Linked DNA regions of Solanum lycopersicum. The protein of the gene in region 1 interacts with the protein of each later gene in a pairwise test. Links are inferred from orthologs where the notes say so. Each region holds a gene or a part of one and is shown on either strand. Other genes may lie near its edges.

Region 1 (3,723 bases):
CTCTTTTGCTGTTTTAATATAAGTAATGTATGGAGAATTACAACTGTTTGTTTAGGCTCTTTACAACTTTTTAATGTTATTTTTTCTTTACCGTAGTAGTTAGTTTGATTAATATTCAAACATGTTTAATCGATTCGATATATAAAGTTTATAATATTTTATAGTAATTTTAAATTAATTTATAATAATAATTGATTTTATTAGGTATTTTAATATGTGTATATAAGTAATTTTTGTAGTTATTATGAATCCATAAAAAGTTTAGAATATCAGCTTTAGAAAATGAGTGTTTGGCTAAATTTTTGGAAGAAAAAAATTAAAATGCTCTTTAACATAGTACATGTACCAAAAGTTTTTTATTTCAAAAAGTTAAAGAAATTTAGCTTTTGAACACAAATTGATTGTTCTTTTAAAAAATATTTTATAAATAAATAAATTTTGGAAATTTGACATTAGAACTGTACATTTATCCTTCAAAGGTTTTTAAAACTCTTTAAAAATTTGAGGGACAAGAAACAATAATAAGAGCTTGTTTAAATTGATTTAAAAAATGTATTTACATTTAAAATAAAAAATTACTTTTGGTTTTTAACTTATTTTAAATTATTTTTAATCCTGCGAAATATTTTCTAACTTATTTTAAGTTATTTTTATATTTGTCAAACACTTTCAAAAGTCAAAAATAACTCAAAAATAGATTTGAATAACTTTTAATCTAATCCAAATACTCGATAACTCGTTCGTCAGTACTGTTGAATACTTAGGCTCCTTTTAAATTCAATTTGCAATTTTCTTTGTAAGATTCTTTTAGCAGAGAAAAATAATTAAAGTTTGAAGAAATAATTATATTAATTAATTTTGTCCAAAGACCTTTTTTTTAATGTATCACATATTACTTTTCTGATCTAATTAGAAACCAGGCTCAATAATTAGTGATCATAAATAGATAATCAATAAACAATTTAAATTGTATATACTTACCGAATAAAATATTTTTATACTATTACATCATACTGTCATGTGTTCCTTTTTAAATATTACAAAGAAGGGCTAATATATAAATATCTTTGAATAATTATATCGTTAATACACATCTTAATTAAATTCACAAATAAAATATTTAAAAATTAAATTATAAATTACTTTTTAGTAAACAACAAAAATATTTAGCAAAATACTACAAGACAAAGTTGGGAAGAAGATAGTGTATGAATACCTTATCATTAACTCGTGAAGTTATTTTAAAAATTCTAGACTTAATTTCATCAAATTCAAGTATAATAAAACCCAATATAATCACCATAGAAATTAACAAATCATTCCAAAAAAAAAAAAAAAAAATCTACATGTACCTGAGATTTAAATAAAAATTATTACTTGTATTACTTTAAACTCAAATAAAAGAAAGTTAAACCACCAGAAATAACTGTTAATTTATAATTGTACTATATATATCACTTTCCCTGGTCAGAGTAAAAAAAGAAATTAAAAAAAAGAAAATAATCACATATTATGTGTGTATAAAAGACAACAAGATCAGTAACAGATAAAAACACCATAGCTAGCCAGACCATGTTCTGTTGCATTTCTCATCTGTAGTCTCTCTGGTGTTTTTTCTCTGCACCAAAAACACCTTTCTTACTGCCTCTTCCCCACCCCACCAACTCACAAAATTTCAACTACTGTTCCATTGAAAATGGCTACTTCTCTTCAGTTTTCTTTAGATCATCATCCTATTCCTCAGGAAAATCATCAAACAATGAACCAGACCTCAACGGGAGGACGTAGAAGGTCGAGTAAAAATGGACAGAAGAAGAAGAAGCAACCACAAAGAGGAATGGGAGTTGAACAACTCGAACGTCTTCGAGTACAAGATCAGATAAAAAACAGTACTATCCATGGCGTTCATCATAATCATCAGTATTACTCTAATAACAATTTCCCTAATTTAACTCCTCTTTCATCATTTACCGGCGGTGGTAGTGCTAGTGCTGATCCTGGAAATTATAGTAATTCTATTTTGAACTCTTCACCAGTACTTCAGTTCCCCAAATTGTGTGCAGTGAGCCCTAATGATTTTTTTATGCAACAAAAAGTTGTGAATACTGGGTTTATTGGATCTAGTAGTACAAATCAGTTGATGATTTCTTCTCATGATCATCATCAGTTTCAATCTCAGATGAATCTCTACGGATTTGCAACTTCTAAGCCCAGTACTGAGAAATCAAAGGAGCTGTATCCAATGCCAAATCTGTTTAGCAGCAACAACTCATGTTTCTCCGATCGCTGCCGATCATGCAACAAAGTATGAGTATATAAAACGCAAATTGTTCTCCTTCCATTTTTTTTAATTTAATTTATAATTTTGGTAATTTATTCACATTTTCCTTCTTCGTTATCATAAGAAGAAACGCATGATCAATGGAGAAGAAATTAGCGTTCATATGGAGGACATGATCAGAGAAAAGGAAGATTCTGGAACAAAGCCTTTGCTTCACTCATACAGTTTACCTAGCCATCAACAAAAGGTAAAACAAAAATAAAATTGCACTAGCTAGCCCTAATGTTATTCAATTGTTCGCTTCGAAAAACTGAAAACTAAGTGATTTGTAGGGCGTAGAGATTGTGGCAATCCATAGAAAGGGAAGTTCATCCGCGTTGTCATCCGATGAAGGAGCAGTAATGATGGAGTATGATTTTTTTCCAGAAAAAATCAGCAGCAAAAGCACTAATACTTACAAAAGTTGTTTCGAGAATGAAGCAACGACGATGAATGCTTATAATTCACCAGAATCTTCTTCATTTGCTGCTGCAGCAGCAGCAACTGGAAATATTATTAATGGTGAAGCTTCTTCTGTTACTACAATATCTTGGGCTGCAGATACTACTACTACTACTACACCTACCAGTTCCATTGATCTTTCACTGAAGCTTTCTTGTTAGTTTTTTTTTCTTTCTACAGAATCATTTGAAAAAGTATATGGTTTAATTTCTCTGAATTTTGTCTTTTCACACTTGTGTGAAAATTTATCTGATGAAAAACCCAAACACTACTTTATTTTTACCATTTTGGTTTATCTGAATTAGCTAGTACTACTTGTTATTACTTCTCCAAAATGGAGCAATACATTTTCTGGGTTTTTATTGTATCTATATCTCTTTCTCTCTACTCTTGGGATTGTGTGTCAGTGAGATGTAGATGCTTCACTATTTTTTTTCTTTCTAGATCTTATATTTATTTAAGAGTTCATGATCAATTGTTTCAAATTATGCGGGACGGATTGAAAACAATAACATAGACTAAAATTAGTTTAGATGTATAATAACGTAAGCTGGTCTAAAGATCACGATTATAATATAGTATAAATAACATATCCAAAACCTATCTTTTCTAGAATCTAAAATCTATAAACTCCTTCCTGTCTCTCTATGTCTTAATCTGTTGCAAGTCCAGTGGAAGCATAATCTACCAAAACCCTAGCAAGCTAGTATTTATTATGGTGGGGTGGGGGTGTAATTAAACAAGGGGGTAGGTAATTAATATTTACAAAAGAGAGAGTTTGTATATTTTCCTTAAAAGGGGTAGCCACTAATTAAACCAAAAGGAATACAATAGAAGAGTATCTCTTTATGGGAGTCAAGCATAATATACTGATCAGACACTAAAAAAACAAAAGAAAAAAAGTGCTTTATGGCAGTCTAGAAGTGAGTATAGATGTAAAT
Region 2 (3,266 bases), on another chromosome or scaffold:
AAATTACATATCTCCATATATCTTTTTTTATAAATAGAATATTACAATTAAAATTTTTAAATACACAATTATTTTATAAAAATCCACTATTCAACAATTGTAATAACGAGGGAAAAGGTCTGAAAAATACTTCAATTTTGATCGAAATTGCTATTTCGATATGAAACTTTATGGAGAACCTTTTAACCTTCCCCACTCCTCCAAACTATTTAATAGTGTATTTTAAAGGTATATTTATGTCCACGTAGACACATTACTATTTATAATTATGTAATATTTTTATGTCCACGTAAATACATATATACCTTTAAAATACACTATTAAATAATGTAGGGGTAAAATGTCTTTTCTAAAATTTGATACTACAACAATAATATCAATCAAAGTTCAAATGTATTTCACATCATTTTCCCTAATAACTGATTATTATTTAATATAATTATTCTACATGTAACCGACAATATCTCACAACAAACATATATATATATATTCAAAATTTTAAATTCGGATGATTAGTCATTTATTTTAATTTGTACTACTACTATAGTTTGCAGAAAAGCAATAAACCCTTTTCTTTTTTTTTTCTTCTAACCCTAGAGTGGTCCTTGTGAGGTTAACAGTGTACCTTCCTTTCTTAGCATCATTAAATAGAATCAAAACTTAAAATTAAAATATGAAACTACTACAATAACTAGCTTCTTGACTAATAGACTGTTAAAAAAAAAAAACTATTCATGATGGAGTAGTCTAAATACGAGAAATTAAATTTCTATTACATTATTATTTGTAGCCTATGGACAAAGAATTATCGCGATTATATATACAAATACTATAAAAGTTTATATACACAGTAGATACATAATACTTAAAACTTTACATTTTTCTCAACCCTAGAATTGAATTACACACGAGTAAGCGCCACGTGGCCTTCTACTTTCCTCTTTTGAGATAATATTATAACATAGTGAGAATCTAACATTGCTTCTTTTTCTACAAACCATAACTTATCCTTGTAAATTTATTCTCTCTTGTTTCTCTTTTGGTCAAATTTTGTCCATAAACTCATTTTTTCCCCCAAGCCTTGGGAGAAATTATTATAAAAGAAGTTAAATGTTATCAAGAGTTGTTAATTCCATGTTGAGATTTTGCTAGCCACTCAAAGATATATATACAAGTTGTAGTTTATCTTCTACAAAACCTAATTATGTAAGTACAATTCATGATTCTTATAGTAGTAATTGTTTATACAAAATTTTAAACATCTATTTTTTTAGATCTTAGTCATTTTTACAAAGTCTTGGGTGTTTAGTGAAATGATTTTGGAGGTTACCCTAATATTAATCACAACTCCAATTTTCCCCCAAAAATTGCACTATGTACACAAGAAAATTTCCATTGATGGAGTTTTTTTTTTTTGTGTGTATAGTATAATTTGATAATATTTTATCTCGATCTAATAGATGCTTAATATTTTTCTTTGATTTTTACTAGATCGATGCTGATGAAGAACGATATATGATATACATATCATGAATTCATCGAGTGGAAATAATTTTGAGACGAAACAAGAATCAAATAATGATAGTAGATTGGCCTCAAAGACGACTAGTGCACCACCATCGAGTACTTCAAGGCAATGGGGAGCTAATAAAAACCCAAGAATAGTACGCGTATCGCGTACTTTTGGAGGGAAAGATAGGCATAGTAAGGTGTGCACCATAAGGGGGCTTAGAGATCGAAGAATTAGACTATCAGTTCCAACTGCAATTCAATTGTATGATCTACAAGACAGGCTTGGCCTGAGCCAACCTAGTAAAGTTGTAGATTGGCTCTTAGAAGCGACTAAACTTGATATCGATACTCTTCCTCCACTTCCTGTACCACCTGAGTACTTCACTCGGTTTCAACAACCATCTCATGAAGAGTTCTCTGATGTCCGTGCTCAATGGTTGAACGCGAACACATCTTATTTGGAACATGGGAGGAACAAGTCAATCGCTTCAAATGAGGAATCAAATCAAGAGGATAATATGTTTACCTTAGGAAATCAACGATCATCTAATTTACCAGGCATGCCTTTCAATTCTTATAACTATCAATGGGATCATCAGCCTAATTCGAATTTGTCTTTAGGTCATTTTGGACATAATCATTCATTTTCATCCCAAATAGATGATGATCAATCTCATCAAAATACTAGTTTCCCTCTATCTTTGGGATCATCATCTTCGCCTTTTCCCTCGAGTTCTCAATTGTATTTCAATCCAATAACAACAACATTTCAACCTATAGTTCCATCTCCTAACTATATAACAAATCATCATCCCATTGAGAGTCATGATCCAAGGGCTAATATGAACCATTTCAATTTCTTAAGCTCAACTACTTCACACAATAATCAACTTGTGATGCCAACTCTTAATTTGATTAGTTCCCAAATGAAACCCTTTAGTCTCAATAATGATCCTAGATGGATGAGTTCCAGAGATGATGAAGATGACGATGATGACGATGATGATGATGATAATCAACCACATGAAGGTCGCGCAATTTGATTCTAAGCCAAGTGGAGGAAATGAATCTTCGTCTTTACTTCAAATATTTTGAATTAAAGTTGTTGTCCTGGATTATAATCATGCTACATTATTCCTTCTTCACAGGTACAACAAATAATTAAAGTGAATCATTCTATTTCTTATACCATATAGGTTTATAAAGTTTTAATCTCTATTCTGAAATATACAAATATTAATCTGTAGTTTTTTTTTTTGGGTGATTCAAGTGGTATAAATCTACATTATTATTGGTATTGGATTAACCTTTAATTTATACAAATTGAAAGTGTGTTTAGCATTAATTTTTTCAATTTTGTTTTTCTTGGATTTGCATCATTAATATGTCATGGTTTAACCGAAATCTCGATAGTAGAAACTCTAATCGAAGCAAAGGTTGGGTTTATTCTCGACTCTCACAACCTTAAGGTAATTGCAAATATGATGCAACAGATCTGGAACTATAGTTACGTAGTCAAGTCAATCAGTTGTTGTTGGTATCTTCTTCTCATTTTTCTTTATTTCATTATCAGAGCTCCGAGAAGTAAGAGATAAAGATGTTGAAGAATATAGTGAAAAATCCATAATAGGATCTAACCACAAAGTATGAATGATTTTAGCCAATAAAAATATTTTATAGAAGGTAAACGAAACTATTCAAGTTCAATTTTGTCATGTAAAATTGATACATAACATATCATGCTTAGCTGTGTA
Region 3 (3,765 bases), on another chromosome or scaffold:
AACATTTTTTATATATCTTAAAATAAAATAAAAACTCTTTTATTTTTTTAAACACACCAACCAATCAAATTACATACATCCAATTATATAAAAACATTTAAAATGGGGAGACGTAGTGCCTCATCTCACTTTATTTTACATAAATAGAATAGATAATAATACCAAACTTTTCTTTTACAGAAACGTATCAAAATGAAGTTTCTTGGTTTCTTTTGTTTTTTTTTGTTTAGGACATCTAAATAATCTAATTAATTTGTTTATAACTCAAGCAGATATGTTAGCCGTGTTGGGAAGTTCATCAAACATATTGCAATAATTTATAGATCTTAAACCCTTACTACAACTATTAAGAGTCTCACATCAGCCATTCAAGAGATGAATCATCTCTTTATTATGATTTGAGCAATCCTCACTTCTTGAATTAATTTTTGGGATTAAGTTAAGACGTTCGAGATCTATTTTTTTCCATGCATGGTATATATCAAATCAGGACTCATTTTGATTTTAATTTTCGATATTGAGCCTCCATATACAACCGTGAGTGTGTGGTAAAGGCGAAGGGGTACTGAAGATAGAGTCTCACATATCAGACTTTTAAGATATGAGTGACGATCTCCTTAAATATATATAATTTGGATAATAACTAGTTTTTGCAATTAATTTTAAACCCAAGATTCATTTCTTTGTGATAACATTTGTTACACTAACATTAATTAATTAATACATAGAAATTAAATAGATAGAGACTAGCATTTTTCTTGTAGTCAACTATAGTATACAATTTGCTTTGTTTCAAGAAAGACAAATCCTCATCATATACCTCATTTCCTATATATATACTTTGATATATGTGAAAGAGATAGGAATAGGCCTTATAAATGAGATGAAAGTTACTGTTTAAACAAAACAAGCATGAGCCCAGTCTAGCCAGCCCATCAACCCCATGGGAAACCTGAAAAAATTACTAAAACTTACTAACTTGAATCATTTAAATCAACAATCAATGTGTGCTGTGGATACATGAGAAGGGAAAAAACATAGTCAAACACAGCTCTTCATATATATATATATATATATATATATATTGAAATGTTGTTTTCCGATTAATAACAACCTCTATTCAATACTTGCAGTAATTAAAAATAAGTCATATACATGAATGATAATGTTTTTAGGTTGGTTATAAGTATATATATATACATGACATTAAACGTATCAATACAATTTGTGGCTTAAAATCAAATCTTAGTAAAAAGAGTTTTTATTCTGGAGATATTAAATTCTAGTGATATTAATCTTAGCAGGTGCATGTATGTTGACGTTATTTCTATCTTTATAATAGTCATGGAGTAGCTGAAAAGGCTGTTTCATATCGACCCTCGTCTCAAGTAAATTATTTGTCAAACATATTACTTGTTTCTCTATGTATAAATAACTCAATTCCATTCTAGATTCCTCTCTCACTCCACTTTATAAAAGACAGTAAAAACCAAGAAAGAGATTGAGAAGATCAAGAGGAAAAGATGTCAACATTGAATAACCATTTGTTTGAACTCCAAGACACAATATGCTATGTGCAATGTGGCTATTGTACTACAATATTACTTGTAAAATTCAAATTTATTCATTAATTTAAGTTACTAGTAAACTCATATAATTACTTCTTAATATCATCTCAATTTAAAAAATGCAGGTTAGTGTGCCATGCAGCAGCTTGTGCAACAAAGTAGTAACAGTGAGATGTGGGCATTGCACTACTCTCCTCTCTCTCAACTTGATTAAACCTTCTCTTCATCTCTTTGCTTCCTTCGACCAAACTCATCAGGTTAACTTCTATACTCTAACAATATAATTTATTTTTATATTATTAAGTCAGTTAAAGATAACTATACATAATTAATGTCTTACCTGAAAGAAAAATAAGATAGCTTACCTATTACAACATATCAAAAATTTGAGTACGTATAAATAGATATATTATCGGCGTATATAAGCTAAATTCTTCTTTCTGTACTTTCAACGGCCAAAGCCACCAGAAGTTGACAAGGATGAAACTGATGATGCTAATAAGAAGAATTCAAACTCAGATGAAGAAGATCAATTGGAGAATAATGTTCTTCCACTTAATCAAGTCGTCAATAAACGTAAAGTTTCGTTCTTCGTTCCGATAGAACAAAGTTTCCTTTTGCACCTATTTATACTTATTTAGTGATCAGCCTAACAATTTCTTTGATTCCACTCGGTCTTCCTAGCTAGAAAAAAAATTTGTAATTATTTATTTATTATGTATGTTACTTGTAATAATTATAAGGACATACATGTCTAATTAATCATACTACATTTTTTTTTTCAGCTCCAGAGAAGAGACAGAGAGCTCCTTCGGCTTATAATTGCTTTATCAAGTACATTTTCAGTTTAATAATTATCCTAATTAATTATCATAAACTATCGTAACTATTATAGACTAATAATTATATTATGTTATGTTAAAAATTATTTGACAATATTTAATTTATTATTTTTACAGAGAAGAGATCAAGAGGCTGAAGACCCTATACCCCAACATGACTCACAAGCAAGCTTTCAGTACAGCAGCAAAAAATGTAAGATATACTTTTATTGATTTACCCTTAATAAATATCTTGAAAAAGATAATAGCTCCTAAATATGTTATTGGTTATATGAAATACCATAAAATGCAACTAATTTTTGAATAATTAATTGATTTTTATTTCAGTGGGCCCACTTTCCACCAAGTCAACATAGAGGAGGCTGTAGTCTTGGAGAGAGGAAAATGGCAAAGGTATATACACCCATGGTTAAATGAAATTGGCAATTGAAATTTTTTGCATAATGATTGAAGAAACCTAAGTGATAATCCAAAAATGGACAAACAGAAGTACATTTCATATACTAATGTTTTAACTTTTGAACATTCACATGAAACTAGCTAATTGTATAGCTAAAAAGCTTCTACCAAATATTTTGTATTATTATAACATAAAATTACCGTAAATTATTATGAAATATGTGCGTCATCACTAATTCTTTATTTTCTAGGGAGTAATAAAATTATGACATGTTCTACGCTAAAAAATAATTTCTTGATATTAAAACATGATGACAATAATTTTAATTGGATTGAATAGCTGCCCCAACTACCATACATATCAAAGTATTAGTAATAATATTTCCCTTAATTGGTATCAACGGATTCATTGATGTCTGTTAAAATTAAACCTTTTATATATAGGTTTCTGCTGCAAGAAACTCCATGGTCCCAAGAGATAGCAACGGTTTGATTCCTTGAATGAAAGGCGACTCCGTTTCATGAGTGAAGAGATCTTAATGAACTCGAAATTGAAGAACTGAAGTATGTGATATTTTCTTGCTATTAGTACTGTTGGTTTCAATTTCTATTTGTGTTAAAGATGCTATTGTCAATTAATAGGGTCATTGAAGTTTATGTTTGCAACTTTTCGAAGTTTGAAAGTAGTGACATATATATAATAATAATTTATGTATTTGATGCATTACAATATATATATATATACATAAAAAAATTAACCAAATAATATTTGATGAATCTTTTTATTTTAATTGTTTAGATTAACTTAAATGCAATACTTCAGAATATGCCCATAAATAATTGGAAATATTCAAATATATCCCTAAATAATATAAAATGTCCAAATATACACCAGCAAACTCAAATAAATTAGAGGCATTTCTAATTAATTCCATTTTGCGTATAATAATATATAC

What was found.
Region 2: the proteins of SPL (region 1) and TCP4 interact in a two-hybrid assay, tested with the Arabidopsis thaliana proteins (3 studies listed by BioGRID, with this or other methods). The link is inferred for Solanum lycopersicum from reciprocal best matches to the Arabidopsis thaliana genes SPL and TCP5.
Region 3: the proteins of SPL (region 1) and INO interact in binary tests that used the Arabidopsis thaliana proteins (3 or more experiments, as listed by UniProt). The link is inferred for Solanum lycopersicum from reciprocal best matches to the Arabidopsis thaliana genes SPL and INO.

What each region holds. Positions count from the first base shown.
Region 1 is NC_090806.1:68,525,054-68,528,776, forward strand, and holds SPL (SPOROCYTELESS/NOOZLE-like protein), read left to right. Parts: upstream 1-1,137; 5' UTR 1,138-1,696; coding exon 1,697-2,305; intron 2,306-2,405; coding exon of another isoform or gene 2,406-2,408; coding exon 2,409-2,528; intron 2,529-2,613; coding exon 2,614-2,943; 3' UTR 2,944-3,153; downstream 3,154-3,723. UniProt on the Arabidopsis thaliana protein: Transcriptional regulator of sporocyte development. Acts as an adapter-like transcriptional repressor recruiting TPL/TPR corepressors to inhibit TCP transcription factors. Required for nucellus and embryo sac development.
Region 2 is NC_090802.1:61,726,983-61,730,248, reverse strand, and holds TCP4 (TCP transcription factor 4), read left to right. Parts: upstream 1-1,030; 5' UTR 1,031-1,206; intron 1,207-1,491; 5' UTR 1,492-1,529; coding exon 1,530-2,555; 3' UTR 2,556-2,738; downstream 2,739-3,266.
Region 3 is NC_090804.1:448,551-452,315, reverse strand, and holds INO (axial regulator YABBY 4), read left to right. Parts: upstream 1-1,250; 5' UTR 1,251-1,523; coding exon 1,524-1,607; intron 1,608-1,693; coding exon 1,694-1,825; intron 1,826-2,029; coding exon 2,030-2,144; intron 2,145-2,353; coding exon 2,354-2,402; intron 2,403-2,527; coding exon 2,528-2,603; intron 2,604-2,737; coding exon 2,738-2,803; intron 2,804-3,253; coding exon 3,254-3,310; 3' UTR 3,311-3,524; downstream 3,525-3,765. UniProt on the Arabidopsis thaliana protein: Essential for the formation and the abaxial-adaxial asymmetric growth of the ovule outer integument.